Mus musculus: one gene and its partner. The protein of the gene in region 1 purifies or fractionates together with the protein of each later gene. This does not show direct contact. Links are inferred from orthologs where the notes say so. Each region holds a gene or a part of one and is shown on either strand. Other genes may lie near its edges. The genes, in order: Faf2 and Ubac2.

What was found.
Region 2: the proteins of Faf2 (region 1) and Ubac2 purify together in Homo sapiens (affinity purification with western blotting; 7 studies listed by BioGRID and IntAct, with this or other methods). This does not show direct contact. The link is inferred for Mus musculus from reciprocal best matches to the Homo sapiens genes FAF2 and UBAC2.

The regions. Positions count from the first base shown.
Region 1 is NC_000079.6:54,642,820-54,658,112, reverse strand, and holds part of Faf2 (FAS-associated factor 2), read right to left. Parts: intron 12,869-15,293; coding exon 12,792-12,868; intron 9,822-12,791; coding exon 9,683-9,821; intron 8,136-9,682; coding exon 8,050-8,135; intron 7,955-8,049; coding exon 7,863-7,954; intron 6,071-7,862; coding exon 5,893-6,070; intron 2,708-5,892; coding exon 2,536-2,707; intron 1,832-2,535; coding exon 1,688-1,831; intron 1-1,687. UniProt on the Homo sapiens protein: Plays an important role in endoplasmic reticulum-associated degradation (ERAD) that mediates ubiquitin-dependent degradation of misfolded endoplasmic reticulum proteins.
Region 2 is NC_000080.6:122,011,967-122,027,224, reverse strand, and holds the end of Ubac2 (ubiquitin-associated domain-containing protein 2 precursor), read right to left. Parts: intron 7,276-15,258; coding exon 7,168-7,275; 3' UTR 6,190-7,167; downstream 1-6,189. UniProt on the Homo sapiens protein: Restricts trafficking of FAF2 from the endoplasmic reticulum to lipid droplets.

The DNA of each region.
Region 1 (15,293 bases):
TCTACAAAGTGAGTTCCAGGACAGCCAGGGCTACACAGAGAAACCCTGTCTGGAAAAACCAAACCAAAATAAAACAAAACAAAAAACAAAAAAATAAAAATAAAAAAAGGAAGAGGGGCTTGACAGACAGTTTAATAACCCACATGGAACCCACATGGCAGGTTACAACTCTCTGCTACTCCAGTTCATCTCCTGGCCTCCACAGTGGAGACTAGATGAACAGGCAGAGAGAATACATGTGAAATACAAGGGAAGTGCTGGGGAGAGAGGACAGGAGGATCCCTGGGACCTGAGAGCAAATCAGTGTAGTACAACAGCGGCCCCAGGTCCCAGGAAAGAAAGAGTGTCTCAGAAAATAAGGAAGAGATCTTGAGAAGAAAACATCTGAGGTTGACCTCTGACTTCTATATGCAACACACACACACAAATTTTAAAACAAACAAATGAAAAGCCTAAGGGTTCTTGCTGGGTTTCACATATAGAAACTTTTCCTCTGAGTACTGAATGGGTAGAAACTTCAGAAAACTGCAGAGGAAATGATGAGTGGATCTGTAAGATTTATGTGCAAAGTGGGGCATGGTGGCACATGCCTTTAGTCCCAGCTCCAGAGGCAGAGGCAGGTGATCTCTAAGTCCAAGGGCCAGCCTGGTTTGCAGAGCAAATTCCAGGCCAGCCAGGGCTACACGGATAAACTCATCTTAAACCCTCAGCTGTCCCCTCAAAGATCTACATGTACCTGTAGTTAGTGAACAAGGGGAATCAACATCTGGTGAGTGACCGTGTACTACACAGCAGGTACTCTGGGAGACACAGTTACGGTACCCAATTAAAAAGTCCAGGGTAGGGGCTGGAGAGATGGCTCAGTGTTTAAGAGCACTGACTGCTTTTCCAGAGGTCCTGAGTTCAATTCCCAGCACCCACCTGGTGGCTCACAAACCCCTGTAACAGTAGTCTCATTTAACTCTCATAGTGGCTCACAACCACCCGTAACAGTCGTCTCATTTAACTCTATGGAATGTGATACCCTTCTCTCCTGTGCAGATGCACACGCAGCTGAATAGGAGACCCTGAATTCCATCCCCAACACTGGAAATTAGAACCCAAAAAGCAGCTGGTTGTGGTGGCGCATGCTGGTAGGATTTGCTGAAGGAGGCAAAGGCGCAGGAGGATCACGAGTTTGAGGACAGCCTGGGCTACACATTTTGCCAGGCAGTGGTGGCCCATGCCTTTAATTCCAGCACTTGGGAGGCAGAGGCAGGCGATTTCTGAGTTTGAGGCCAGCCTGGTCTATAGAGTGAGTTCCAGAACAGCCAGGACTGCACAGAGAAACCCTGTCTCAAAAAGACAAAAAAAAATACCCAAACACAAAACAAAAACAAAACCCCAAAACCCAACCCAAAGAGCAGGTGTGAGCCTTGTTCTCAGTGTCATCGGCTTCGTTCCCAGCCACGCCTCCTCTTCACTCTGTGCTAGGTCTTTTCATCTTACCTTGTGTGCTTCCTGCACATGGTGTAGTTCAGAACACGGTTAGAGGGGTGGGAAGGAGGCCTCTGTCCAGCCTGAAGGTTCCATCCCAGGGACCCACACAGAGGAAGGGAAGCAACGGCCTCCCGTGGTTTGTCCTCCCCTCTGCATGCACACATCTACAGCCCAAATCACAGCATCATGTGGCTTAAGTGATCCTTACTGTTAGAGACTGTGAGAAGTGGAATCGTCTCTCTACTCTGGAATCATTGGGTAACTTGAAAATGATCTTGACACTTTCAGGATCATCAGGGGAGGGCTCAGGGGGCAGGCATTCCAGCTTCCTCTCCTTTTCCTCCTGCAAGTTCTAGAGACACAAAGCACAGGTAAGGATGTGGCTCAAACAGAGATAAAGAAACCAGAATATAGAGGCCATGAATGTTTACTGAAAATTCATCAACAATTTTTGAAAAGAAACCCTCCTGAGGCCAACAGGATAGCTCAGGAGGTAATGGTGTGTGGGCTCTGAAGGTACAATCGAAAGACAGCCTGAGCTCCACCCTCCCCTAAGGTTGTCTTCTGACCTTCATAGAGTACCACATGTGGCATGGTGTTATGTGTGGATCAATGCTCTCACAGCTCATACACATATAATGGATAAATAAACTCTCCTTTATTCGCTGGTTAAGGCAGGGTCTCATTAAATATCCCTGGCTGGCCTAAAACTTGATATGAAGATCAGGCTGACATCAAACTGAGAAACTGGCCTCAATCCTGCCTCTGCCTTCTGAGTGACAGGGTTAAAGGGCTGCACCACTACATCTGGCTGGACAAAAATTTAAAAACAATAACCCCTCAAAAAAAAAAACACACACACACATACACACACAAAAATCCCAAACCCAAAACCAACCTTCTTGGTAACAAAGAAGGAACAAATCTACTGCACACACATGCACGCACGCACGCATGCACTGCTAGTACATGCAGGCACTGAGCACTGGGGAAAGGGTGTGCCCTGGCGGGAAGCAAGCAGCAATAGGAAAGACAAGGAACAACTGTGTGGCTCACCTGTCGTCTTCGCTCCTCCGCCAGCTTCTGTTGCTGCACCTCCTCCTCCTTCCGGCGTTTCCGCTCTTTCTCCTCCCTCTTCTTCCTCTCTTTCTCCTGATCTGCCCTGAGAGAAGCCAGGTAGGCTTCATCCTGCTGTTGTCTCAGCACCTGGGTTTGGTTCCTTTCTTCCCTGTGGATGGAAACCAACTCCAAATTTCACATTGTTCTCCCAGCCCAGCTTTCTCCTGCTGCTCCCTGCTCCCTCTCCAGGATAGACTGCAGGGCCAAGTGCAAGCTGGCCAAGAGCAGTTCCTGACTGCTCCCACTTCCCTTGTCTTGAGATCCTCCTGCTTCAGCCTTTCAAGTACCAAGATTAGAGAAATGTCCACCACGCCCAGCTCCTGGCTTCTATTTTATTAAATAATCTATTTCTTAATGTGATAAGTATCCTGGTTGTTGCTATTTACTTGTGAATTTGACACAAGTGGACACGCTGTTACCTGAGAAGAGAGAACCACAGCTGAGAGAAGAATCCCTGGCCTTCCTTTGGGAAGCCTATTGGGCACTTTCTTAATTAGTGATTCATGTGGGAGGGCCCAATCTACCGTGGGCAGTGCTATCCCCTAGGCAGGTGGTGAGCAAGGAGGAGCAACCCAATTAGCAGCAAATAAATGGCTTTGCTTCTGCTTCACTTAGTTCATGACCTGACTTCTCTCAGGACTGTTCTGACTAGTTTTTTGTTTTTCGAGACAGGGTTTCTCTGTGTAGCCCTGTCTGTCCTGGAACTCACTCTGTAGACCAGGCTGGACTCGAACTCAGAAATCTGCCTGCCTCTTCCTCCCAAGTGCTGGGATTAAAGGCGTGAGCCAGCACCGCCCGGCCTGACTAGTTTTTATGTCAATTTGACACAAGATAGTCTTCTGACAGGAAGAACCCTAATCAGGAAATGTCTCTATAAGATCAGGCTGTAAGCAAGCCTGTAGGGCATTGTATTAATTCATAACTGATGTGGGAGGGCCCAGCTCATTGTGGGTGGGGCCATCCCTGGCCTGGTGGTCTTGGGTTGTATAAGAAAGCAGGCTCAAAAAGCAGGTAGGCAGCACTCCTTCATGGCCTCTGCATCAGCTCCTGCCTTCAGGTTCCTGCCCTGTTTTGAGTTCCTGCCCTGACTGCCTTGGATGACGATGATACAGAACTGTAAGAAAATAAGCCCTTTCCTACACAGCTTGCTTTAGGTCCTGGTGACTTATCCCAGCAAGAGAAACCTTGACTAGGACACAGGGTCTTATATATCTCAAGGTGGTCTCGAAACTCACTATGTAGCCAAGGATGACCTTGAACTTCTGATCTGTTCCCCAACTGTTAGGAACTCAAGTGCACTTCCTGTCTATTTTCTCTTCTACTGAAGACAACGGCATTCTGAAGCAGAGCACAGCAAACTCCTGTGGAATTTGGGATCAAAGTCTGGGCAGGCCTTTGTAGCAGGTACTGCTAGCCACTGAGCTATCTCATGACCTGCACTTACTGTCTGACAATCTCATGCATTTAGATAATGGACTTTAGTCATTTTCAACTCCAATCCACTCTCATCCCCTTCATTCCTCCTGACTCTGTCCTTCCATATGTGGCCTGTGGCAGAGGGTAGTTGGGCGTTATTTACAGAAACAAGGCAACTACTCCCCACTGATGGCCAATAGTCCCTCAGGGAGGGGCGGGGGCTTTGAGTGTGGTGACTCGCTCATCCTCTGCCTTACTCTCCTTCTGCTCCTCTTCCCTGACACCCCTGAGCCCCGAGGCAGGGCCACAGCTGTCCCACTCAGAGCCAAGCACTCCAGCACCTCAGTGGTCCACACTGAGGTCAGACAGAGGCCAGCATGTTTCCTTCTACATTTACTTATTCAAATGTACATGGTACTGAAGAAGGAGTAAGCGTGCCGCACAACATGTGGAGGGCAGTACTCTCCTCCTACCTGAAATTAAGTGTGATCTTGCTGGTTGGTCCTCAATCTTTAAAAAAAAGTTATTCTTATTTTTAAAATTGGTGTGTTTGTGAGTGAGAGGAAAGAATCGGAGAAAGATAGAGAGAGAGAGAATGAGAATATATATATATACATATATGCACACACACACATATACTCAGGTGCCCATGAAGGAGTTGGATCTCCCAGAGCTGGAATTATGAACTGCCCATCTTTAGTGCTGGGAACTGAGCTGGGGTCCTTTGGATCCTAACCGCTGAGCCATCCCCAGCTCCCCACGTTGTATTTAAGGCAGTTTCTCAGTGACCCTGCAGCCTGCTCACTGACTAGCCTGACTGACCTGCAGAGCTCGGGACCCTCCTGTCTCTGCTCTGCTCAGTGTGGCAGCTGCTCCTAGCTTTCATGGGGGTGCTGTGGAGCAAAGCTCAGGTCTTAGCTCCCACAGAAAGCCCCCATGGACAGCCATCTCCTTGCTACCCTGGAGTGGCTGCTTATGTGTGCACCATGCTCCTGCAATGACATCTGGATGAGATCCCAGAGGAACAGAACTCAAACAACTTCCCGAGAGTTGAAACAAGTGAAGCTAACTAAGTGCTAACCAAGTCTACTAAACTGTCTGAGCCCAGTCATCAGAGCACAAGCTGTGGCGTCTTGGTCTGCAGTTCTAAAACCACACGTAAAGCAGTGCAGGGTGAAAGCAGTGAAGGTGAGCGACAGCCTTGGGCTTGAGCTCCCACCCAGTGGGATCTGATGCTGCCTCAGGGGCAGAGGTTGGAACAGAACTGATAAACTAGACACCTAGCTGTTGTCCACTGCTACACAACTGATCTGCTTGGTGTGTGGAAAAAACCACCTATACATCTGGTGCCAAATGTGATCTGTGTTGAGTATGACAAGGTAAATGGGCCTTTTGTTTGTTTTCTGTTATTATCTTCAGAGTAAGCAGAGAGTGTGCACAAGTGACTACAAATCTAGAAGCACCCTAAAATTATGAATGCTTTAAAATTTCTTCTTTGACTTTACCATTTCAATTTTTCTGTAACTACTGTACATAATCCATGTAATGAGAAAAGCTATAATCAGTCCACCTTCTTCGCATTAAGTTCTATGTTCAGCATTCCAAGCTATTCTTTTGTTTGTTTGTTTTTTCGAGGCAGGGTTTCTCTGTGTAGCCCTGGCTGTTCTGGAACTCACTCTGTAGACCAGGCTGGCCTCGAACTCAGAAATCGCCTGCCTCTGCCTCCCAAGTGCTGGGATTAAAGGTGTGTGCCGCCACCACCGCCCGGCCCAAGCTATTCTTCAACATGAAGCAAAGGCTTTTAAAGTGCCCAAGACACAGGAAAGAAGTCTGTGGAGCCCCAAGTCAGTCCGTTTTCCAAGCACACATCTCCAGTACCTTTCTAGACGTTCTGACACCAGGTAAGTCTGGTTTGCATCCATGATGAATGTCAGCTGGTTGATGAGGTCATCAGGTTGAATGAGGCCTTCTAGCCTTCCAACCACAGTCATTCGCCGATCCTTCAACATAATCATAGCTAGGAATGGATAGGTGTTCTCCCGTAAGGCCTGGGACACTGACACAAAGACCCAAGAGATCAAGCGTAAGAGTTGGGAGGAAACACATCAGTCCTTAGACTTTGCACACACTGATGGAAATACCCTCAGAGATTTATTTCTGTCTCCTGTGCGTCAGCACTTGTCTCCATGCACACGTGCATCACATGCATGCATGGTGCCCAGGAAGACTGGAGGAGGCTCAGATTCCCTGCATCTGAGTTACAGACAGCTGTGAGCCGCCAAGCGGGTCCTCTGGAAAAGCAGCCCATGCCCTTCGTCACCGAGCCATCTCTCCAGCCCCTCTGCTGTATTTTTTCCTCTAAAGATGAGTGCAGAGATTAGAAGACAGCTTTCTAGAGTTGGTTCTCTCTTTCCCCTGTGTTTGATAACCAAACTCAAATTCCATCTCATAAGCCCTGCCTGGTCTCTTCATTGTTTTCTGTCACGTTTGTATTCCTAAACTGAGGCGAGTGCTTAGACCAGGGTGAGGCTTCTTGGTAAGCTGCTGTTATGCTGAAAAGGTAACAAGGTTCTAGGATAATGTCTACTGAACGGAAGGAAAAGGCACTATAAAGAGCCATGTTACACTTAAGTATAATTTCTCCAGATGTTAAGAGTCAAAGCCACTGGGGACAAGGCTGAAATTCTCAGCTGCATGCTGGTGGCTATGGTTTTACAGCGCATACACTTCCTGTCTTTTCCTCCTCATCCAATTCCTTCCACCCCTCATTTTCTTCCCTTAACAATGTTAGCTTTCTGCTCCAAGTAAGAAAGTTGTTCTGTAAATAAACAAATTTTACTATGATGTAATTGCATCTATGTTCTTTTTTTTTTTTAATTTATTTATTATTGTATGTGTGAGTATACTGTTGCTGTCTTCAGACACACCAGAAGAGGGCATCAGATCCCATTACAGATGGTTGTGAGCCACCATGTGGTTGCTGGGAATTGAACTCAGGACCTATAGAATAAATGCTGAGCCATCTCTCCAGACCCCTGCATCCTATGTTATAAAGAAAGAAATTTTATAACTCTTTACAAAAAGTATCCTTTGTGTAATCTACCTGCTAGCCCCACAGAGCCACATTAGAATGGCAAAACACAGGCTGCAGGAATATAGCCCATGTTTACAAATCAATTAGGAGTAAAGATTAAGAACTAAGGTGCAAGAGAAACAGCTACATTGTATTATATTTAGTTCTGAACACCAGGCACCCAATGCCTAGGTGTTAGCATATACAGAGGTTGCTGGACAAAGAGGCTACAAAATGACTGTATTCTCACCACTGGGATCTTTGTATCTTCTGATGATTTCTAAAAACACTGACTAAGAGTTGCTGCCAGAAAGACTGAACTCCCTGCATTGGCTGTCTGCGCTCTAGCACTCAACAGAAGACTCATTAACCAGAGTTCTGCTGAAAGCCTGGATAGAGAAGACAAATGCCTAGCAAAAGCCTGTTAAAATTAGAACTGAGCTGCTGGGCAGGACTGACTGAAAATCAGAGTCTCTGGCAATGGTTAGCTGTAAAGAATGGGCCTTAAACTTGCTCTGCTCAAACACAACCGTACGCTGACTGTATGCTCTTGGATCTGTCTTAATGTCTCTGTTGTTGTTTCATTAATCTCAAAGAAGAATTAATACAACCTTTATCTCTCAGACTGTTGACAAAGTTAAATGACAGAAAGTAAAAACTGCAACTAGCATTATGTCTATCAGAGAACCACCACCCAGGAATGCAACAGCATGCTTTTCCAGACTTCCCCAAGGATACTCTAACCTTCTCAGTAAGGCAGAGGAACACGACTTACCCCTGTACCCCTCAGGCTTGTTTGTAGAACAAGCCCAGAAAAGCATCCTGCTGTTTATCAGTGAGATGACCTCAGGTGCGCAGAGAGCATTGCTGTGGAACAAGATAAAACATTGTGAGAGCAATTTGCCAACTATAAACCATCAGCAAAAAAGTCAGAGAAGAAAGAAAATGACTCATCTACTTACCGGCAGAACTCATCAGAGTCCTGGTGGTCATCTCCATGAAGATAAACCAAAAGAAATCGAAGTTCCCGCTTGGCATCGTTAAGTGCCTTAGAGAGACAAAAGATCATGACTTACTACTACTAAGGTCTGGAACTACTATTTAGGCTAAGGGTTCAGATGAACATAACTTTTAATCAACATTAGCAACTAGAAAGAGGGGAGGGAAGTGGGGTTGAAGGGGAAGCAAGAAACTAAGTACTTCCCAGGCTTCTACCTTTACATCTATCCCTGGCATCTTTCTCCTTATAAAGCCCAAGCCAACAACTTTAACGCAAAGCCTTTCGTGCTGTTAGAATTTACGCTGCATCGGGCACATGAGGATGTAAGAAGTGACTCAAATAATTCCTGACAGTCACAGAAAGTCAGCTGTTCTCATGGTTTAAAGGTAAAGCAGGACACTGTGACTATGTAAAAGCAATTTTGCAGCTTCAAAATTCTTGCTAATAAAAAATTAGCTGCAAAGATGAGTGGGATCCAGCAAGAACACAGGCAAGCAGGAAGCACTAGGGCACCCAAAGGTTTCCTAAAGAGCACAGGGTTCAGAAGATCTGAGACAAAGCAAGTGTCTTGTCACGAATCTTGTCACGTATGAATGGTATACTCCTGACTAACTGCCTGTAATTCCCTGCATTGCTAATGTAGTCTACCCTCAAGATCACGCAAAGAACTGCTGTCTCCCTCACCCTCACTCTCTGCGGCCCCAAGCAGGGGATCTAACTGTGTACAGCAGGTAGGTGTGTGATGTTTGCGAGTGGGGAGCAGCAGCCAGCATGAAGATCAACTGTGAGACAAAGCAGAAGCAAGAGTGAGCTGCCCCCTCTCCAGATAAGAATCAGGAATTCCAGATACTCCACAACAGAGCCACCTTTTAACACATGTCTGTGCTGCTCTTTATTGTTCTCTGGCAAACTACATATGCCTAAAATCCAGCTTTCCTCCCTAAAAGGAGAAAATGAAAGGTCTTTGTGGCTTGGTTTGAATCAAATGAGCTGCCTTGAGCCTATGGTCTAAATCCTATTCAGTTTGTAAGAGATCAAAACAAATTCTGCTCTTGCCTTGAAGGTGTGTACAGTCTGATAACACAGCAAAGACATGAACACAAATCATGTAAGGAGGAATGTAAAATTGCTATAAATTTAAGAACAGAAGGATGGAAAACAAAAAAGAAGGAAGGTCAGTACTTTAGAAAGCAAGGTAGGGTGCGATAGGGAAGGAATGGAGTGGCCAGAACAGCCCGAGCTGGTGTGAAGGACGGGTGCGGAAGGCAAGGCACCCGTTAGCCAAAATGATAGAGGACACTCCTTGTGGGAGGAGCAGCAAGAGCAGGCACTGAGGGGAAGTGTTCGGGGAGGGGTGCGGTGGGAATCTAGGGAATGGAAACAAGCTATGCAGAAAGGACATCACAAGAACGGGGCTAGACCAGGAGGCTAGAGAAAAGGCTTGGTCCTGCCTCTGTTTACATTTCTCTAACCAGTGAGGAACTAGTTAAGTCTTTTGTGAGTGTAAGAGCAACATGATCACAGCTAAGCTACACTTTCCTTTGAGGACAGAATCATATTGGTACGTTGGCATCTATTTGGTTCGTGGCACTGACCTGGCTGTACGTTCCCTGGTAGAAGACAGGGTGTGCCCTCCCATATTTCTCTTCAAAAGAGTGCATAAATGAAACAATGTCCCCAACAGGGTCAGTGACCCGGCTGCGAGGGTCAGGCCGTATAAAACGAAGAGCAAACCTGGGGAGGAAGGAATAAATATCACATGAATTGGCTTACTGTAGCGCATATGGAGTGGGCCAGTTTGTACAGACTTTTCTAACAGAGCCAGAGGGTGGTAGCAGGGGAAGTGAGTGGTGAGTGAGTGGCCATTAACCCTCAAGGGAGAGTTGAGGACACTGCCAAGTGTCCGCTCTCTGCTCAAGAAGACTGCACACCACTAGACAGCGACATTCCAGTGCAGGGCTGACCAAGAAAGATCCAAACCCCAGACACTGTCTAACGTGGCAGCGACTAACTATTTATGGCTGTTTTAAATGCGTTAAATTAAACACAATTACAATTCAGTGCCTGAGCCACACCTACCATGTCTCAAGTGCTCAACAGACGTATGTGGTCAGTGATTTGCACACCAAATAATGCAGACAAAGAACGTGTCTTAATCAAAAAATAAGAAAAGAAAGAAAGAAAAGGTGCAATGACAAACACTGCTGCAGAATAGACGACCCCTTGCTGCATCTCCTCCTCCCAGCATCCCCTGCTTTATGTTCTTCTGGGATTCTGACTGTTCAGCTCCTACTCTCAAGTTACTCAAGTATCAACAGGGGCTTCACTTCAAACCTGGACTTAGTCACAATGTATTTGTTCTTCAAAGGGGCGTGTATATTTGCTTGATATGTTTACAGTGATGGCATCCATGGGAGGAGTCATAAAGCTGACCAAGATGTGGAACACTGGTGGCTACTTTAGACCTAAGGATGCAGTGTCTCATGGGTCCATACACTATCCCTAAAGAGCCTACGCTACCATGCCGTATCACACCCATTCTTACACTCTGGGTGTCCATACACGGTTATGAGGCAAAGGGGGATGTTTTACATACACTTCACAGGAAGTTGCCTAGATGACAACATTGCATTACAATTAGTAAAACATGCCATGCATATTTTCCCAAGGAAAGCAAACAATGTTCAATTTTTAGTATAGAAAAAGGTGAGTGAACTCTGATAACTTTCTTTACCAGTTCTTAAGCCTATTCTCTCTCCTCCCCCCGCCCCTCCCTTTTTTAGTTTTTGAGACAGGGTTTCTCTTTGTAACAGCCCTAGCTGTCCTGCAACTCTCTCTGTGTAGACCAGACTGGCCTCAACGAACTCACAGAGATCTGACTGCCTCTGTCTTCCTAGTGCTGGAATTAAAGGTGTATGCCATGATGCCTGTTAGTTCGAGGCCAGCCTGGTTGAGAGAGCAAACTGCAGTTACAGCAAGGGCTACACAAGAGAAACCACGTCTCAAGAAACTGAACCAAACACATTGCCCACGAGTATTTTTCCTAAGTCATCAAACCAAATTCATCAATATGAACAATCCAAGAAAATGAAAGACATAATAAAGCTCTGTATATAGGGAAGTAGTTCTAAGTGCTTCAGAAGGCCGGTACTTCGACTTATTTCTCTGAAAAGATTATTTAACGGCTGTCTGAGTATCCAAATTCTAGGAAGAGGCAAAGACTTGAAGTCCACTGTTTCTTACTACAATGTATCTCAACAGCCAACATAGTCTAAGCCATACATGTCAACTCAGTTTTCACTGTGATTTTTGAAAATTGTGTAGTTCCACATACCCATTCCTGAATAAAACAGAAATGGAAAAACTACAACTCAGGTAGACATTAAAGAAGTTTGCAATGAGCCAGGTAATATGGTGCATGCCTTTAATTCTAGCACTTGGGAGGCAGAGGCAGGCGAATTTCTGAATTCAAGGCCAGCCTAGTCTATAGAGTGAGTTCCAGGACAGCCAGGGCTATACAGAGAAACCCTGTCTTGAAAAAAAAAAAATGTTTGCAATGGCCAGCACTGGAGAGGCAAGGGCAGTGGATCTCTAAGTTTGAGGCCTGCCTAGTCTACAGAGTGAGTTCCAGGACAGTCAGAGCTACACAGAGAAAAATAAATTAAAAAACAAAAACAACCCCCCCAATCAACCAAATAAATAAACCATAAACAGACCCAACTCAAAACAAAACAACAAACTTTGCTACAGGAAGGATGCCACTGAGCGGGAGATGAAGGAGAAGCTATTATCCAGTCCCTGGTAATAGTTGGGTCCATATTCCAGCACTGGAATCCGGAAGGGGCACTCTGTGAACGTTCTTTTAGCTCATCGCTGGCCTGGACGTCATGCTCTCCTACTCCCACTCTCCCCACCCTGTCCAAACTCAACTCCTCTTGCCTCATTCTCAAGAGGATTACAGACTGATGCTACCACACCCAGCCTCCAATAGACATTTCAGCTTTTAGCAAAGCCCAGGCGGGCATTGCTCTCGCTCATATTCTATGCTAAGCCTGATCTGCCGGCAAGTCAGGTTATACTCAACATTTCCTAGCTCTGGACACTAACTTGCAAAGGTAAGTTATTTGAATGGTACACAAAGGAAGCTAGATGGTGAAGGTATGAAACAAGTGGGTGCATGTACGAAAGGGTTCCAGTGTTGGTAACCTAAGCATCGCCAGGGCAGAGGGAAATGTACAAAACACTGCCTAGAAAGATGCCAACAATCTATAGCTAAGTAGGTATAGTCTTGAGCGAGAAAATCTACTGGGATTGTGCATAGTCAGAGGAGAAGTGGTTTGGGACAAAAGTTCCTGGAGTATGAAATCAGGAGACAGATAAGGTGGTTAGAAAGGAAAGGGCATGGGGATTCCCTTGGGAATGTAGCAGTGACAAACATGGTGTGGGGAGGAGAAGACCAATAAATAAACACAGGCAGATCCATGTGGTTTTACACACAACAGCCAGGACCAAAGTGAAGCCGATCATAACACCTTCCACTAGGCAACAATTTACAACATTTTTTCCTACAGTAAAAGAAAGTGCAGGAAGAGTAATCTGACAAGTAGGCTACTCAAAAATGATTGAGCGTCAAGCTTACTCTAACCTAAGTTTCAGCCTCAAAGCCTACCTTGTTGTTAGAAGCATATAAACAGAGGTACATACCTAAATATATCAAGTATCGTGTAATAGGTAAACCGGAATGGAAGCATTATCAAGTAATAACCCCATCCAAGCAGGCCCTGGAATTCCAAAAACAAAGTTAGAGACCCCATTCTCTCAATGTTCAATACTTACAGAATATGGCTAGTTCAATTTCCACGAGCCCACCCCTCTCTAGTGATTCCTCTCTATTACAATGCTCTTCTTGACAGTCTCATTATTAAATGCTACTGCTTTGGTATCTATCATTTCATCTAAGACTATTGTTCTTCACAGAATTTTTGCTTTAAATCTTCATAACATTCTCAAACAACTATTTAGATTCATGGTCAACGATTTTCCCACATAACAAATATTCATTCTTTCCGTCTTATATTTAGACTCACTATATGGCACATAGAAATAACAAGAGATAATTACCTTGCTTTGGACACTTGTATGCAACCACAAGACTCCACCACAAGGACATCCTCAGGTGTCTACTAATCAACCTATCTTACTGCTCTCACACACAGACAGCTTCATGTCAGACTGTGTCAAATGCCCTGCATGGTCATCGCAGTGGGCTCTAAAGCTAAATGGGGATCAGGGTCTCAAACACAAAGTGAGGTCCAGTCCAAGCTGAAGAAACATGGGGACACAGGAAATTACTTCCTGAGTTATGGATTGCTCGAGGAATCTGGTTTGTTTATTGTTTGTTTTTCCTTTTGTTTTTGAAACAGGGTTTCCCTTTGTAGTCCTGGCTGTTCCAGAACTCACTGTAGCGGAGGCAGGCTGCCCCACCTCAGGCAGCTAATGTTGGAAGTTCAGACAGGTACTTTCACTTGGCCAATCTGTACTCATCTACTTTAGTCTTTCTTCCCTTTATTTATGGCTTTGTTTTCTGTAGTTCCAGTTACCCTCAGTCAACTGGGGTCTGAAAATATTAAATGGAAAATTCAAACCCTAAAGGGTTCCTAAGTTTTAAACTGCAAATTGAGCAGTGTAACAATCCCGCTCAGGATGACTCTTCATCCAGCCTTCTTCACACGACAGCTGCCTACCAGTTTCTTGGTAGCCATCCTGGTTAGCAGATGTCTCAGGCGATTGCTTATGTTCAAGTAATCCTTGTTTTACTTTAAAAATGGACCCTGCCAGGTATGATGATGCACACTTTAAATGCCTACAGTGGAGAGGTAGAGGCAGGTGGATCTCTCTGAGTTGGAAGCAGCCTGATCTACACAGCAAATCCAAGAGTAGATAGGGCTACATAGCAGAAGCCTGTCTCAAAACAACAAAATGACCCCAAAGTGTCAGTCCTAGAACCGATGTGGCAAAGGAAAACCACGAAGTGATCCCATTAAGAAAGGTTAAGATTTGAGGAGTCCTGTGGCGAGGACAGGTAGTGTGACAATCTTTTGTTCATAATTGGGATGGAAGAGAAGTCTGTGATAGCTTTGCTGCTGCATCTTACATAGCAAAAGTGACAGCCAATGCTTCAGGAAGACATTAAATACGAAGGCTTAGTTAGTAGTTCTGGGGGCTTAGGGCATCTACTGAAGACCTTGCCAAGTGTCTCTTCTATAGAAAATGCATAATTGCCAGGCGTGGTGGCGCACACCTTTAATCCCAGCACTTGGGAGGCAGAGGCAGGCGGATTTCTGAGTTGGAGGCCAGCCTGATCTACAGAGTGAGTTCCAGGACAGCCAGGGCTACAGAGAAACCCTGTCTCAAAAAACCAAAAATATAAAAGAAAAAGAAAATGCATAATTAAGTCCTACATTTATCTGGGTGCCAGCTGTACTATGTTGCCCAGGCTGGCCTCAAACTTGTGATCCTCTTGCCTCAGCACTCTTTTTTGTTGGTTTGTTTGCTTTTAATTTAACTTTATGTGTATGAGTGTGTTGCCAGCATGATGTCTGTGTACTATGTGTGTGTCTGGTGCTTGAGGAGGCTGGAAGAGGGCACTGGATCCGTGAGACTGGAGCTACAGGCAGTCGTGAGCTGCCATGTGGTTGCTGGGAATTGAACCCTGGTCCTCTGCAGGAGCAGCCAGTGCTCTCGACTGTTGAGCCATTTCTATAGCTCGTCTTTTTCCTCCCTGAGATGGTGTCTCACAACAGAGCCCAGGCAATCTCTCCTATCTCAGTGTCTCAATGGCTAGGACTACAGACATGTACTACTATGTCTGCTCTCAAGGAATTCTTGAAACATTAAGTACTCCATATACAGACATGAAAAATATGATAATGGAGTCACTGTAATTGCTCTAGGATTGAATAAATGCTTAATTTTCTTTAAAACAATTCTAAAAGCATGTGTAAGAGGTGAATGCCATCACTCAAAGATAAGAAAGAAAAGCACCATTAAGTTCTTTGGAGTTCACAATCAGCTATGTATCTAATTTCCTTAACTAGATCGTGAGAAATCAGACTGCAACAGGAAAACTAAGATGAAAAGGTCCAGAGTTTGATGACAGCCTGGGCTACACAGTGAGATTCTGCCTCAAAAAGAAACCAAGTGGGG
Region 2 (15,258 bases), on another chromosome or scaffold:
GCCCATGATACCCACAGTAACTGGATCCTGACACATACATACTGTATTGTCTCTCGTGACTGACTCTGAAATGGGATAGACAACATAAAGTGGCTGGCCCTAGGGAATTGTGTGCCCTCTGAGAAGGGGTGTGTGTGTGTGTGTGTGTGTATGCATGTGTGTATGTGTCCCTAGGGAATGGTGAGCCCTCTAGGAAGGTGTGTGTGTGTACATGTGTATGTATGCATATGTGTGTGTGTCCCTAGGGAATGGTGAGTCCTTTAGGAAGGTGTGTGTGCATGTGTATGTATGCATGTGTGTATGTGTGTGTCCCTAGGGAATGGTGAGCCCTTTAGGAAGGTGTGTATACATGTGTGTGTGTCATACACATGCTCTGTGTGCACCCACATGTACGCTGATAAGACTTCTCTGGATTGGCAGCATATATTGATGAACGTTCTGTGGAGAAAGTGCTGAAAACCCTGGTTTTCTACTAACTCTTATCCAGAGAGAGGTGAACAGATGTCTATGCACACCATCAAGGACACCAGTGACAGAACAAAGATGCAATTCCACCCAAGTCTAGCCTGGTGAGCCAGGGAGTTTATTGGGCTTATTCACACCATCACAAAAGCTCCACTCAGACCTTGGTGGTAACCTCCTGGAAGCTGCATAGGAGACTGCCCTTTTAGTTATATTGCTCCTACAGAGGCCACAGGAAGCTGGGAGTACCTGGAATCTCACATGGGAGTATGATGTCCCCCACCACATATACCCCTCCCCCAATGGAACTTCTGCATGCCTGATCTATAGAGAAACTGCCCTTGTTCACAGCCATAAGGATAGAGTCTGTGAGCAAGCTGAATGTACAGGAGGTGGGCAAGGGCTCCTTGGCACAAAAGAGCCCTTGCCTGTGAAGCAAGCCTTTCAAAAACAAACATCTGGCCGGGTGTGGTGGCACACGCCTTTAATCCCAGTACTTGGGAGGCGGAGGCAGGCAGATTTCTGAATTCGAGGCCAGCCTGGTCTACAAAGTGAGTTCCAGGACAGCCAGGGCTATACAGAGAAACCCTGTCTCGAACCCCCCCCCCCAAAAAAAAACCAACCAAACATCTGTAAAATAAAGGGGAAAGGAAGTAGCTTGTGGGTGGGTACTTGTCTTTGTCAGTGCTCTATCGCTTTGAAGAGACACCATGATCACTGCAACTCTTGTAAAAGAAAGCATTTTATTGGAGGCTGGTTTACAGTTTCAGAAGTGTAGTCCATTATCATCATAGTGGGGAGCATGGTAACAGGCATGGCAGGCTTGGTGCAGGAGAAGTAGTTGAAAGCTACATCCTGATACACAGGCAGAGAGAGAGAGAGAGAGAGAGAGAGAGAGAGAGACAGAGAGAGAGAGAGACAGAGAGAGAGAGAGACAGAGAGAGAGAGAGACAGAGAGAGAGAGAGACAGAGAGAGACAGACAGAGATACAGACAGAGAGAGAGACAGACAGAGAGACAGCAGACAGACAGGGTCTGCCATGATTTTGGAAACCTCAAAGCCCACCCCCAGTGACACACTTCCTCCAACAAGGATACACCTCCTAATCCTTCCAATCATTTCAAACTGTGCCACTCCCTAATGGCTAAACATTAAAATATATGTGCCTATGTGGCCATTCTTATTCAAACCAGCACAGGAGACAATCTATGTTTGGTGGAGTCCTGGAAGGTACCTCCTGCCTCCATCTGGACTCTTCAGGTTTGCTGGGAACATGTGACTGGGGTCATATTTTGGAATTTTTTTTATCCTCAAAATGAGATCCTAGCTTATCAGCACTTCTAGATATTGCAAAGCTATCACGAGTAATACAGTGTTTAAGAAAGGAGTTTGGTACCTAGAAGATGCCTCTGTGGGCAAAGGTGTTTGCAGGAATCCCATAAAGACAGGAGGAGAGAATCACCCTTCAAAGTCATCCTTAGACTTCCCCACCCACGCGGCGGCACGCACTCATCCATAACTGCATACACAAGCAGCACACGTACACACATACAAATGATAATTATGTCCTAAAAAATAAGACACGAGCGTAAGAAAGACCAGGTTTCTCACCCCTGGGGACAGAAGGGGGAAGAAGGCTCCTTAAGGCCATGATGTCTCAAGCCATTCAATCTAGAGGGTCTGGGGGTGGGGGTGGAGAGGGAGCAGTGTAGCCGCAGCCTAGCTGGAACTGGCCTGGAAGGTTGTGGCTACCTCCTTTCCAACCCAGAGCCTGGGGCCACTGTGGAGCACTGAATGACTTTGCCATAGCAGGATCCTTACTTCAGAAACCTGTTACGGCTTCAATGTGTAGGAGCTGTGATCCCGAGAGCCTTGTAGGGTGACCATATCTAGAGATGCAGACTCTAAAGAGCTAAGTTCTAATTCAATGACTAATGTCTTTGTAAGATCTGGGCGTGGACAGGTGTGGAGGGAGGCCACGTGAAAGCACAGAAAAACGCCATCTTCAGGAGGAACCAGGCCTGTGAGCAACTTGATCTGAGCTATGCAGTTTTTGGGACTGTGAAGAAACTGATTCATGTGCTGGAAGCCCTCTGTGCTCCCATACAACAGTTTGACAGACAGACAGGCAAACAGACAGACTGCCTTTGCAAATGCTTTGCATTCTCCTTTGCTGTGGTAGGGGTTAAACCCAGGCCTTGTGCATGATAGATCAGTACTCTGCCACTGACCTCAATCTATGCCCATTCCCTTCTGCATTGTGTGTGCATATGTGCATGTACGCATGTGTGTGCTATGCATATGTGGATGTGGATCCACAAGGAGGCACACATGTATGCAGATGTGTAACTCTTGACTAGGGGTGACATGTACTGGAGACTGAACTTTTGGTGTCCTCTAGGTACCCAAAATGCAAGGCTAGCTGCGCCCAGAGCTGCAGAGAATCTGTTCTCCAGTGCTTTAGAGTTTGGGGCCTCCAGGCCAAGTCTATGCCCTACATTTCTAGACTGAGTTGCTTCTGGAGCCTTGAGCTGATTTTATGCTTGCTCATCAGTGCTGTTCTGCAGAAGTCTGTCACCCTTATCTCATTTTATCCTCTCATTGCTAGTATTCTCTTAATTTGGGTACATGTGGGGACATGATAAAACCAGTGGTAACCACAGTCCTTTCCACAGACTCACATGCATGCCTGCTGTGGCAGAGGCTGTAAATCAGACAGTCTGGAGAGGCACAAGGGACTGGGGTCAAGTTCTTGAAAACACTCAGCTCCCTTGTGAAGAGGTTCTGATCTCTACCAGGCAGGAGGGCTGAAGGGGGCCTTCTCTGGATGGGACATCAAAAGATGGAGTCAAGGTACCCTCAGCAAGCCACTGGTGGCTTTGGATGCAGCCTTCATCTGTACAACGAGGACATTAGTCAACACGATCTTTGATATTCCTCTCAGCTCAAGAACTGGGTGAACTGTGAGTGAAAGAGCCGTAAGTGTGTCAGAGATCGGCTTCCCTGTGAAGCTGTTCGTCTGGCTTTCTATATCTTCGATGGCTTTCTTTTTGATGCTGTGTGGGTGACCTGGCCAGTCCCCTACATAGTCAGTTACTGGTATCCCTCTAGGGAAACTCTCATCTAGGAATACAGACAGAGGCTAGTGGTGGGACCAGGGGCCACACAATGTTAAACACTAAACCCAGAGAAGGAAGGGAGATCCAGCCAGGGAGTATATGGCCTTGGATAGTGTCCTGTTCAGTTGCTAGGATCAAATATCTTGCACTCTCTGGGTGGGGACTCTTCCTGGCCCCTTAGCATGTGTAGTGGAAGAAGCTTGTAGCAGCTTTGACTCTCAGAGCTGGTGCTTTGCCCGAACAACTCTCACTGGAGATGTTTCTCCTGACTGTCTCAGCCTAGGCAATGTTTCCACTTTCTTGGCCACTGTAGCTCCCATGAGAATTCTCTTAGGTAGCCTCACTTGCCAATATGGAAGAACTGATAAGGCCTGAAAGTGGCCTGTGGCTTCTGAGCTGGTCCAGGCAGCTGGTTCTCTGTATGTCAGGTCTCACCAAGAGATGGCTGGGACTGTGCCCAAGTCTCACAGACTCACAAGTGCCTATGGCTTTGAAATGAAATAATTTGGTTATTATGAAAGTTGATGGATAAAGAATGAAGAAGGTGGGAAATACACCTTGCTTAGCATGTCTGATGCTATGTGTTTGATTCCGAACACTGAAAAAGAAAGAGGGGAAGGAGGGTGCTTTCCCTAGGAACTGAGCCGAATGTTGGCAAATGACTCCCCAAACCACCAAAGCTGTCATCAGAACAGGAGTGTAACAGCTAGAAGGGCTCGATAGGGCGGGGTGGAAAACTAGAAGGATTACACCCAACCCCCATGGCTGCATTTTGATAATGAAATCCCAGCTGCATCTCAGTGTCGATCTGTGGTGTAGACTGAATGCTCACCCTGCAGTCCGTCGCTCAAGAGGCTGAAGTAAAAGAATTGCTGGGATTTCGAGGCCAGCTTGGGTTACATAGCAAGGTCCTGTCTTTAGAGGAAAACAGGACGACTCGGGGGTGGGGAAGCAGCTCAGTTGGGGGAGAGCTTGCACAGTGCACACAGCTCTGGGACCAAATAAACACAATGTGATGGTGCACAGCTGTGACCCAATCAATCACTAGGGAGGTGGAGGCAGAAGTTCAAGGTCATCCTTGGCTATATAGTGAATTTGAGGCCAGCCTGGGCTACTTGAGGGCCAACCAAACAAGCCAAAATAAAATACCCACACAAACCTGTACCAATAACTAAAGACATGGGATTTTAAAGATGCAAAGAGTATACACTTCTACAATACTATATATAAATTCACCACCAGTGTACAGCCTGAGTTGTGAGAGCTTCTAATACAGGAAAATCTTTCCAAAGAGTGGTGGTGATGGGTGGGAAGGGTAATCTGCTAGCGTTCTTTGGTACCTCCGGAGACAGAGGGAGGGCTCCTTCCTGGTCTCTCTGGCAAATGAGTACTTACTTCCATTTCTCTTCTCACCTGTTCTGGTCCCTGCTTAAGGACAGGGCTGTTATCTTCTCTTCCTCCCAGTTCTGAGATGATCCTATTCTGCAAGCCCCACTTCCTGGCTTTCTTCACATCCCAGCTCTTGCCCTCAGGAACCTGCCACCACCATGCTGCCCTACCTTGCTTGTGTCCTTCCTTTGGCCCTCAGATCTCCCTACCTCCCCGACAGGGACTGCCCTCTGCTGACTCCAGCCTCCTGAGAGCTCCTAGTGCTGGGATGCTAACCCCTATCACACAGCCCAGCTCTCCAGCCTCACCTCTTCCCAGGCTGACAATCTGTATCTCGGGGGCATTTTCTCCTAGATATGCAACTCTGTAGCCCAGACCACCGTCTGCTAGCTGTGTGAAATGTGTAAAACATTCTCAGTGCCACCGGGAGGCGTTGACAGTTTGTGTTCAGTTTGCCTCAAGTGGTTGTTTGCTAACCCTATGCTGTCTGATTCAACTGCATCTCGGGGGCAGGGTGTCCTTAGGTATGGTGACAGTTCACTTTCATTGTTGACTCTGTGCATTTAGAATCATGGAAACACCTCTGGCTGGGTGTACCTCATGCTCCTGTAGTCATGTCCCCCACTCCTCCCACTGTGAGCCAGAGCTCCTCCCACTGTGAGCTGTTTTTGACAGGTTATTTTGTCAACAGCAACAAGTTAACCTGGTCACAGAAGGACGAATTCACTCACTATGGACAACTTTTCTCCACTCCTTTCCCATTCTGGTCTGGACCTGCTGTTCTGAAAACCAAGGCTAACCTGTTAGCATCTGCATAAAGCCCTCAGCGTAGAAGCTTGTCTACACCCTACCAAGCCATCACACTTACAGAGAGCCCTTGCCCTCTTGAACCCAGGCTTGAACTCCAGACAAGGAGTCCATACAGCGGTACTGGGTGGGTCTTAGAGTGCCTCACTTTACACTCCTACCTCCAGGAGCAGTGTCCCTTGGCCCCGTCAGTGAAGGAAGCTGGTCACCGTGCTCACACTGGGCCTGCAGGGCAGCTCCAACCCTGTTCAGGGCCCCAGTCAGCACTGCCCACGGTGACCGCACTGCGGCAAAAGAAGGGAGTGCTCACTGTGCAGGCCTCGGCCTTCTCAAGACGTTGTCTGGGTTCATTTTTCTTTTTGGTGGAATTGCCTAAAGTTTTATTTGGAGAAGTATAAAAACTACTGAAAAGTAAAACACATAAAAACTTTATTGTAAGTATCACACACCTAGATTTGCATCAATTTGACACATTGCTGCTCACTGTGCAGAATACACCCGGTGCAGTTTGCTTACGGGACAGTCGTCAATTCCTACAGCTGCTCTTGCTCACAGGGGCTGCCTCCTGCTTACACCTCCCTGACTGTCTGCACAGTGGGCACTGCCTCACCCACTACAAGGGGCAAGGATGGGGCCAGGGAAGGTGTGCTGCCAGAAGGGCTGGTGGTGTATGGAGGGCTGCAGGCTGGCCCAGGGTGGGCAGGCCGGGGCTGAGCCATTGCTGGCCAGCGCCTGCTCTCTGCACAGCCCCACTAAGTCTCTGAAGCAACTTTTTTCTTTATTCCAATTCACTCCTTTGCCCAAGTGGCCACTGTAATGCATTCTGAGCAAAATGACCCCAGGTAGGCATCACGGGGCATTCTAGAACCTCACACCAGCACTGGATTATCTGTACTGAAAGCAGGAGTTGGGGCAGACTCTAGGCTGGAGGAGGCTCATCTCCAGCTCCCTCTGTCACTGAGATGTGAATACAAACTGAAGAGAAAAAAAACCCAGTCCATACAGAGTAGTGTGACACAGCCTTTCTGAGGTCACATGGCCTGCCGCCCTTCCCTGACGTGAGGATGAGCAGACTGCACTCGAGCTTCAGGACAGTTGTCTCTCTCTGCGGTGCTATAAAACAGCCACCGAAACCTGTAACCGTCATGCATTTGAACACGTAAGAATGACGGCTCTCCACACTGAGAAATGCCCAGTAAAAAAATAAAGATAGAAAATACATGCTAATTTAATGGCAAACTTATTTGATACTACACGGCAACCATCTTGGATTTAAGGACAGTGTATGGTGGGAACCACCGTCTCCTCTTGAGAACACCTGTGCTGGGGTCTGCTTGGTCCTCAGGCTGATGTGGTGGCGGGCACATCACTGTCATACAGTGGCTGGATGTCAGTGCTGCAGCAGGAAGTTGGTGGCCACATTGAGGTCATTGTTTGAGGCCCTCAGGGCCTCCAAGGCGTCCCCTCTGGAAAATCCCATCTCCATGAGGCGGGCAACCTGCAAAGAGGGCAGAAAATGGAGGCTCAACAACACACAGCGTATCCTTAGCACCACATGTGCCTCACGTGGCTTTGTGGGAAAGCTCAAGCTTCTAAATTGACCCGAGTCAGTTCACGTCTACTCCCAAGTCAAGCCTGTAGTAAAAGAATAGGAAGTCTAGACCTGGCAGCACAAGCCTATGATCCCAGCACTTGGAAGGTAGAGGCAAGAGCGACAGGAGTCCAAGGTTATCCTGGGCAATAGAGGGACTTTTGAGTCTAGCCTGGGGCTACATGAGACCCTATCTCAAAATACAAAAAAAAAAAAAAAAAAAAAAAAAAAAAAAAAAAAAAAGAAGAGGGGAAGATGAGGCTCAGCTGGTAAAGTCATTTGCTTTGCAAGAGAGGGCCTGGGCTTAGTTCCCCAGCACCCCGTGTAAAATGCCAGGTACAGTGGACTATATTACAAGGATGATGACTGAGGTTGTCCTCTGGCTGACTCCTCTCTCTTCCCTTTCTGTCTCTCTGGAAAAAAAAAAAAATCAACAAAGATCCACTTCCCCCAACCAGCAAAGGTGACTCGTAGTAAACCTTTCCAGTGTTTTCTGTGCACAACTAGGAAATCTCACGTGACCTTTGCCGGCTTAGTTACATGTCTAGGTGCTCTGACAGAAAGTGACTTATGGGAGAGGTAAGGAGGCCACAGCGCAGTCAGCAGTGGAGTTGTGTGGCTGGGACTCTGCACCTCTTGGGTCCAGGAGACACCATGCTGGAGTCAATTGGCTTCTTCCTGTTTCCCTTTTTGTTCAGTCTGGGGACCCAGCCATGGGAGGTGGTGCTCATACCACAGTGGACTCTCTCCTCAGTTAAGTCTCTCTGGAAACATGCCTGAAGACACACTCAGAGAGGCCCTATTAATGCCCTAAATGTTTCTTAATTCAATCATGCTAATAACCAAAATTAGCTGCTACATAAAACACACAAGGAAACGGGGCTTCGAAGGCCCTGATGCAGTGGGGTGCACTGGGGCCAGGCTGTGAGAACTCCAGAGTAACAGCCACACTCTGTCTCATGGGATCTGGTGGGGAGGAGTTGGGACATCAGGTGCGCACATACAGGCCACCAAGTGCACACCTAGCGTCTTCAACTGTCACCAGTTAATTGCCCCTTAGACAGTGACCAGTCTTCCTACTACTCAGAGTACATTCATGAGGTTGTAAAACCAAGGTTTACAGAGCATCTCCAATACTGCTAGCTAGGCGTTAACACAGGAGACCGTGGTAGACATTTCGTATTCAAGCTAGAACATTCCACTCCTCTGGCTAGGGATGTGTCTCAGTTGGTAAAGTGCTTGCCTAGCATAGAAGACATAAGTTCCTTGTTCCTGGCATTGCTGCACACACTACCTGCTCAGGTGATGATACTGTGACTTAGCCAGACTCCTGCCTGCCTGTAGTGAAACACCACAGGGACAATGCCAAGCTCTGCTGCCAGCTCAAGCAGTAGCTGGACCTCCATGGACCACAGCATCAGTGACCTGGGAGATATCTTCTCAGGCATCCCTCCCCGTGTAAGCAGGACGCCTTGAGAGTGTTCTCAAGGTAAAGTCTTCTAAATGAGTGTACAGTTTTACATCCTACACTGCTGTGGGTTGGGTCTGGTTGGGTCTGGTCAGTTTTTGTCATGAATACTCTTGGCTGGCAACTTCACTACATCTGGAATTAATTAAGACTCAGATGGCTGGGCGCACCTGTGAGGACTTCACACTGAAATGATCTGAACGGGGAAGATCCACCTTTGATCTGAACCACCCTCTGCTGGCAGCCCATGCAAAGGATGTGGGAGAAGGAAGCTGGCTCTCTTTGTCTGCTTGCTTAAGAACAAGACTTGCTGCCAAGTCTACTCTTCACTCACATTAGCCTAGTTCTTCATTTCTTTGGTATTGGGGTCTATACTGGTCTTCACTGAAGATGAGAGAGATATCCAGCCTTGTGGACTAAGCAACTACTGGATTCTTGGACATTCAGTGGCAGACAGCCACTGTTAGATTAGCTGGACCATAGCCTATTAATAGGTTTTCCTTTCTACATAATTCATAAGTATGTGTGTGCATATATGCATACATATTCACATCTGTGTAAACATTCATACATACATGCATACATTTTATGAGTTCTGTTCCACTAGAGAACCCTGAAGAATACATATGCTCTCAGGGCATGTTTTTCGCTGTCCCAGTAAAAGTGCTCAGCTTCTTTGGAAATGCCACTGGTTACTTTAACAACCACTCCCTTTATGTCTACAACTTTCTACATTACGTTTTAGTTTTCAAATCCTGCTCAGCTTTGCATTCCCGATTCTCACGGAAAATATGGTGAGAAGCAGGCAGGAGAGGCTGTGCTCCAGCTTGGGTGCCATGTTATACTGAAATATCTCCACCAAATTAACTAGCTACTTTACAGTTAGCTTCAACATCCCAGGACTGGGACAAAGACAAATTCTTTGCCAAAATGTAACAAATTCCCCCTGGCCCAATTCAAGAGTAAACTCACAGCCTGGCCTTCACTGCACCCCTACTGGTATTCCGACCTTCTTTTCTCCTCCAGAATCACCCTGTAAGCTCTATCTACAGAATCTGAAGCTTTCTCTAGCTCAGTCTCCAAACTCTGCCCATAAACCAGCTCCATACACTTAGGATTTAGTCACAGCAGTGTCACTATTTTTAGTACCAAGTTAACGAGCTTTCTACAACTGTGGCCAGATCACCCAACAGAAAGAGCTTAGAGAAGGACAGGTTTACTGTGGCTCGTGGCTTAAAAGGATCAGCCCGTAGTTATTGTGCCCCCACGTGTTTGGACAGGACATCATGGTAGTGCAGTGTGGCAGGCAGGAGGCAGAGGATGACACCAGGAGGGACCAGGGACAAGACACCCAAGGCCCTGCTCTCCCCCCAGGGACAAGATATTCTAGGGCCTGCTCTGCCATAGGGATAAGACACCCTAGGACCTGATCTCCCAGTGATCTGCTCCTTCTGATTAGATCCTACTTCCTGAAGAAAGCCTACGAACAGTGCTATCAGCTAGGTAACTAAAGCTTTAATGCATGAGCTTGCACTAGAATTTCACATTAAACTGTTAACACTGTGTCTCTGGACCCCAATCCTTTCTCAGTTTGTGTCATCTGAAAACATGGTACCCAAGGCAGTGTGCAACTCCATGGGTGTGTGCTGGTAGGTGTGTGTGTGTTATATCTGCGCACATGGATATGAATATATACACACTTATGTAGAGAGCTATGACGTGTGAACTGGTTAGCAGGAGTCTGCTAAAAACTTGATAGTTTTCACCTGCCATACTCAGGAGAGTTCTCAAGTCCTACAGTGACCTTGTAGGTAAAAGGACGGCACATAGCTCTGCCTGTTTTCCAGCCAACTCAAAGGAGTTAGTTCTAAATGCCATCAATCATCCCTCTCAAACTTGTATCTCCCCTAAGTAGGCTTAGCAAACCTGCAAACTTCATTTGAATCATTACTGATGACAGTTTTTAGACACACCAGATCAAAGATAGAGCTCTGAGCCCATGAGAAAGTTCTCTCTGCTCAGTGGGTAATCAGCTTACCCAGTGAAAAGCCCAGGTCAGCTCAGTACTATTATCTACTCCATAGGCTGGTGCTCTGTCTCCACAGAGATGTAAATTCACAGATGTAAATTCAGTGACATCTTGTGTCAACAGGGCTATTTTGGTTTTCTCAGACTGCAAAGATTTTTCTGACATCTACAAGTCATGTGGTGCTAATCTGGTTTACATTGCCAGACACCAAAATACCAAACTTGCCATTTAATTTTTTGGAATTGCCTTTCTCCTTTCTGTTGGGACCATTTTACAGTGAGCATACTCTTACCCTTTACCCTTACCCTTTCAAGCTCCCATCAGCCTAAGTGTCAAGGGGTTGGGAGGTTTGCCAGACACAAATCATAAGGAGGGAAAAATCTGCCTGATGAAAGCAGTCTGACTAGTTATTTTCACCTTGGGTTCCAATCGTAAGGTGGCTCTCTGCAGTTATCCTGGCTGAGGAGCACTGTCTCTGGACCAGTCAGTAGTTGGACGGGTCCACTTCCTGCTGAGTGTTGCGTGTGAGCATATTTCAGGGTCTCCAGCCAGTCTGTCCCTTCCTATCCTTGCTGCCTCCCTGCACACTTCACGCAGAGTTGTAGCTCACTTTCATTTTGAGCCTGACCAGGAGCAGGTCTATATGCTGTCAACAGGCAGCAGTCTCAGGGACTGGTAAGTCATAGCTGGAGCTGAGAGCCAGCAGAGATGTCTGGCTACCACTGTAACAATGGTCCGTGATCTTTCCCTGCACTAATGACACGCGTGGGTTCCAGAAGACACAAGGACAGGTGGCACAGACCTCACTGGGCCCTCGGGTTTGGAATGGCCGAGTGGCCCTGAAGGCAAGGTCTGTCAGGAGCATGAACACCTTCTTTGTGCACAATCGCTGTGATCACTCCTTCTCAGACATGAATGACCACATGTCCACCACTGGCTTGACAATGAGTCAGGTCTTCACAGGTCTTCTCTGAAGAGTCTTCTATTGCTGAAAGTGAGCAACAGGTCTGGCACTTCAGCCACCCAGTGCCACTGGTCAGAGCTGGCTTCTATATTTATGTATTTTTCAGGGCTGAGAAGACAAGTGTGTGTTTACTGCTGACTGGCCTGGTATAGGCTTATCAGAGAGTCTGTGAAGGACCTGCCCTATGGAGCTATGGTAAAGGGAATGGTCGGGAATCCACCAGCTCCAATTTCCCACATAGCTGATGACCTTGTGTGTTACACAAGGACAATGTCTGGGACAATTTCTCCCCATCTAAAAGAGAGCCTGACATACACAGTAGCCCAAACTGAGGTTAGGCGGTCAGGCTCAGTGATGTGAGCTCCTTAAGGAAGTGGCTCAGTTTCCCAGCTGAGGCAGAGCCACCAGCAGGCCACAGAGCTGCATCCCATCATTACCAGATGCCAGGTTGACAGCAATTTGTATGGGAAACTTATGAAATGCCCCATGGAGTTTTCTAAAAAGCCGTTCCTTTAATCCTTGCTGCCCCCCCCCAGCCCACTGGGTACCTTCCTCCTGACCCACAGAGGGAACTGTCTAAACCACTGTGGAGTGTCAGCTTAGAGCACAGTGAGGCGTCCAGTCCAATGTCTAAGCCATCTTTTGCTCAGGTTTGCTTAGAATCCAACCATGGGTGATTACTGTCCCACGAGAGAGACTGTTCTGCTTGCTCTGCTCTGTCTGTCTGTCTGTCTAATTCTGAGACAAGGTTTCATAGCATAGCCCTGGCTGTATTAAACTATGTAGTCCAAGCAGGCTTCAAACTTGTGGCAATCCTTGTACCTCAGCCTCCTGAGTTCTGGGGTTACAGGTACCAGAGAAAACACCAGCTCCTTTGTAGTCTTTCACAACTATTTATTCAGTCATTAAAGTTCCCCAAGTGGAATATCCAATGGTTCTTTTCTGTGGCCGAAGTGAGGGCCTGAGACCACAGAATCTACAGGGCACCAGGGGGAGCCTCCCTCTTTCTTCCTCCCTGGGTTGGGTGTGCATTTGTGCTAGTGTCCAGTCCTCTCCCACCATGGGAGCCAGCCGACTAACTCAGTCAGCTGCCTTTCATCACGGCCCACCATAGGCGTCAGGAGCCTTACTCAGCCTCCTGTGACATGGTGAATGAAGCCAGTGGCTGGCTGACCAGAGGAAGGGAACATGGATGGAAAGAGACACGGTCACTGTCAGCTGACAACAGGTGGACTGTACTTTTCCCTCCCATGTGTTCTTCAAAAAACAGACCACACCTCGAGGGAGGAAACCGGCACACAGAGACACAGTTCTTTCCTCGTTTTCCTCGTTTTTAAATACTTTTTTTAAGTATCTCTGATGACCTGTACACTTCTACCTGCCTCGAGGTAACTTTCACTCCAAGAAGCTAGCAAAATGGCGCCTTTGTTCTCCACTCCTGACTCACCTCCCCTGTGCTACACATCAAAGACAGACACTCATCCCAAGGATTCGCAGCGGCACCTTCAGTGACAACTGCTGCTTTGCTCAACAAAGACTGTGGTTTCTTTAACTTCCCTCTAGTTACGAGTGTCAAAAACAAATGGTATTTTGGGTTTTTAACTTCCCGAATTCTGATGTTCATAGATGGAGATGCCCACCCCACCTCACAGAGATGGCGGCCCCACCCCATCCATAGCTGGACTGCCCTTCCGTGCTAGGTCACATGCACACTTGGATGTGAATGGCAGGGCCAGCGCTGCTCTGCCTCTCTATCGTGAGCGTGAGCAGGACGGTTGGCTGTTCCTGCGGGCTCCCCTCCCCCAGTGCTGCTGCTGGACTGCCCCTGTGGGAAGAGCAGCTCTTGTCTTCCTGATCTGATCCTCTCACCTCCTGGTTAACGGGGGCTCTACTGTTTACATGCTCAGGAAAGGGCCACCTCCCTGCCTACTCTTCCAGCACCGTTAGGGTTGGGTGGTCCAGCCCAGCGGTAACTGGGCTGACTAAAATGAAGTTAGAAGTGAACAGGAAGAAAGTATAAATCTTATTTATGGTCCAAGATTGTGTACCTTGCCAGGCCCCCTCATAGCATCCCCCTTATAATCTTGCGTGGGGGTTAGAGGACAACTTGTGGGAGTCAGTTCTCTCCTTCCTCCATGAGACTCTCACTCAGGTCATCAGGAAAGGTGACAAACTCCTTCCCCATATTTTTTTTTTTTCTGATTTTTAGCATGAGTGTGGTATCAAAAATACCTGGTCAAGGAAAGACGGTGCTGGCCACGGCACTCATGGCTCACAGCAGCCAGGGCCCCCTTAACATCCCAGGGCAGCGGGGGAGGGACTCACAAACCCAGCCCTAGCTGAGGAACGACTGGCAGGTCACAGCTGCGAGGGAAGAAAGTAAGTCTTCTGTCACGGTGTAAGCAGGAGTCCAGCGCCCATGCTCCGGAACCCCCGCCCCGCCCATGCTTATGCGTGTGGCCTTCATTAAACTCCGTGGATCACTGGGAAAAACCCATGAAAGTGGGACAGGGTAAGAGAAGGAAGACGGGGCTAGGGTGATCCAAATAGTTTATGTACTTTATAAAGCTGTCAAAGAATAAGTAAAAAGTATTAAAAAGAAGAAAATATGGGGGAGGCAGAGGGAAGAGGAAACAGTTCTTGAGATAGACACTTTAGTACATTTGTGTCTGGTTACAAAAAGGACATTATTTGACAGGCTTTATTTATGCTTTGATAAATTCTCATATATATAAGACCATGTTTTCCTTAGTTCAAGTTCCCTTTCCACCACTCTCCAGGCTACAGGGAGCCCCTCCAGGCATCTCTGGGGAGCCTCTCTGATCTATCCACCGTTCAGTTTGCAGCTGCTGCCCACCACTCTTCCCTAGCACGTGTCTTGCTACAACAGGGCTGCTTCTCAGTATTGTGTCCCCCACAGCTTGCCTGCAATAGACAAGCCAGTGTTTGTGGACTTGACTTGGGGCGGGTGCAGTTCTTATCAGAACAGGAAGGAGCTAGACCATCTAGAGGCATGCATGCCCTTCTTCTCTCCCTGAGCTGCTCCAGAGTCCTTCACTTCCCCGTGGTACCCTTTCTCTCTTCCTACATTGCTGTCCAACATCTCAGGGTGCTTCTTCAGCCATTCTGGGAAACAGAGCAGGACTCACTGCCCAGACCGTCTTACCCTCTTCTCTGCATGTCTGCCTAAAGGAGGCAGGTGGAGACATCTTGTCCCTTGGCTTCTTGGGGTCACCTTTAGAGACCCTGATGTGTGGCTCTAGCCTCGCCCTCTTCAATGGGAGACAAACCTGCAAAGGCGCCTGGAAACAGGATGGGTTCTGAGAACTTGTAATCTCAGACCCAGCACAGGTACAGAAGCAGCAGCGATGGTGTTACATCTGTGGCTGTGACAGGATGCCTTCACGTATGTACATTTTCTTTGAATGT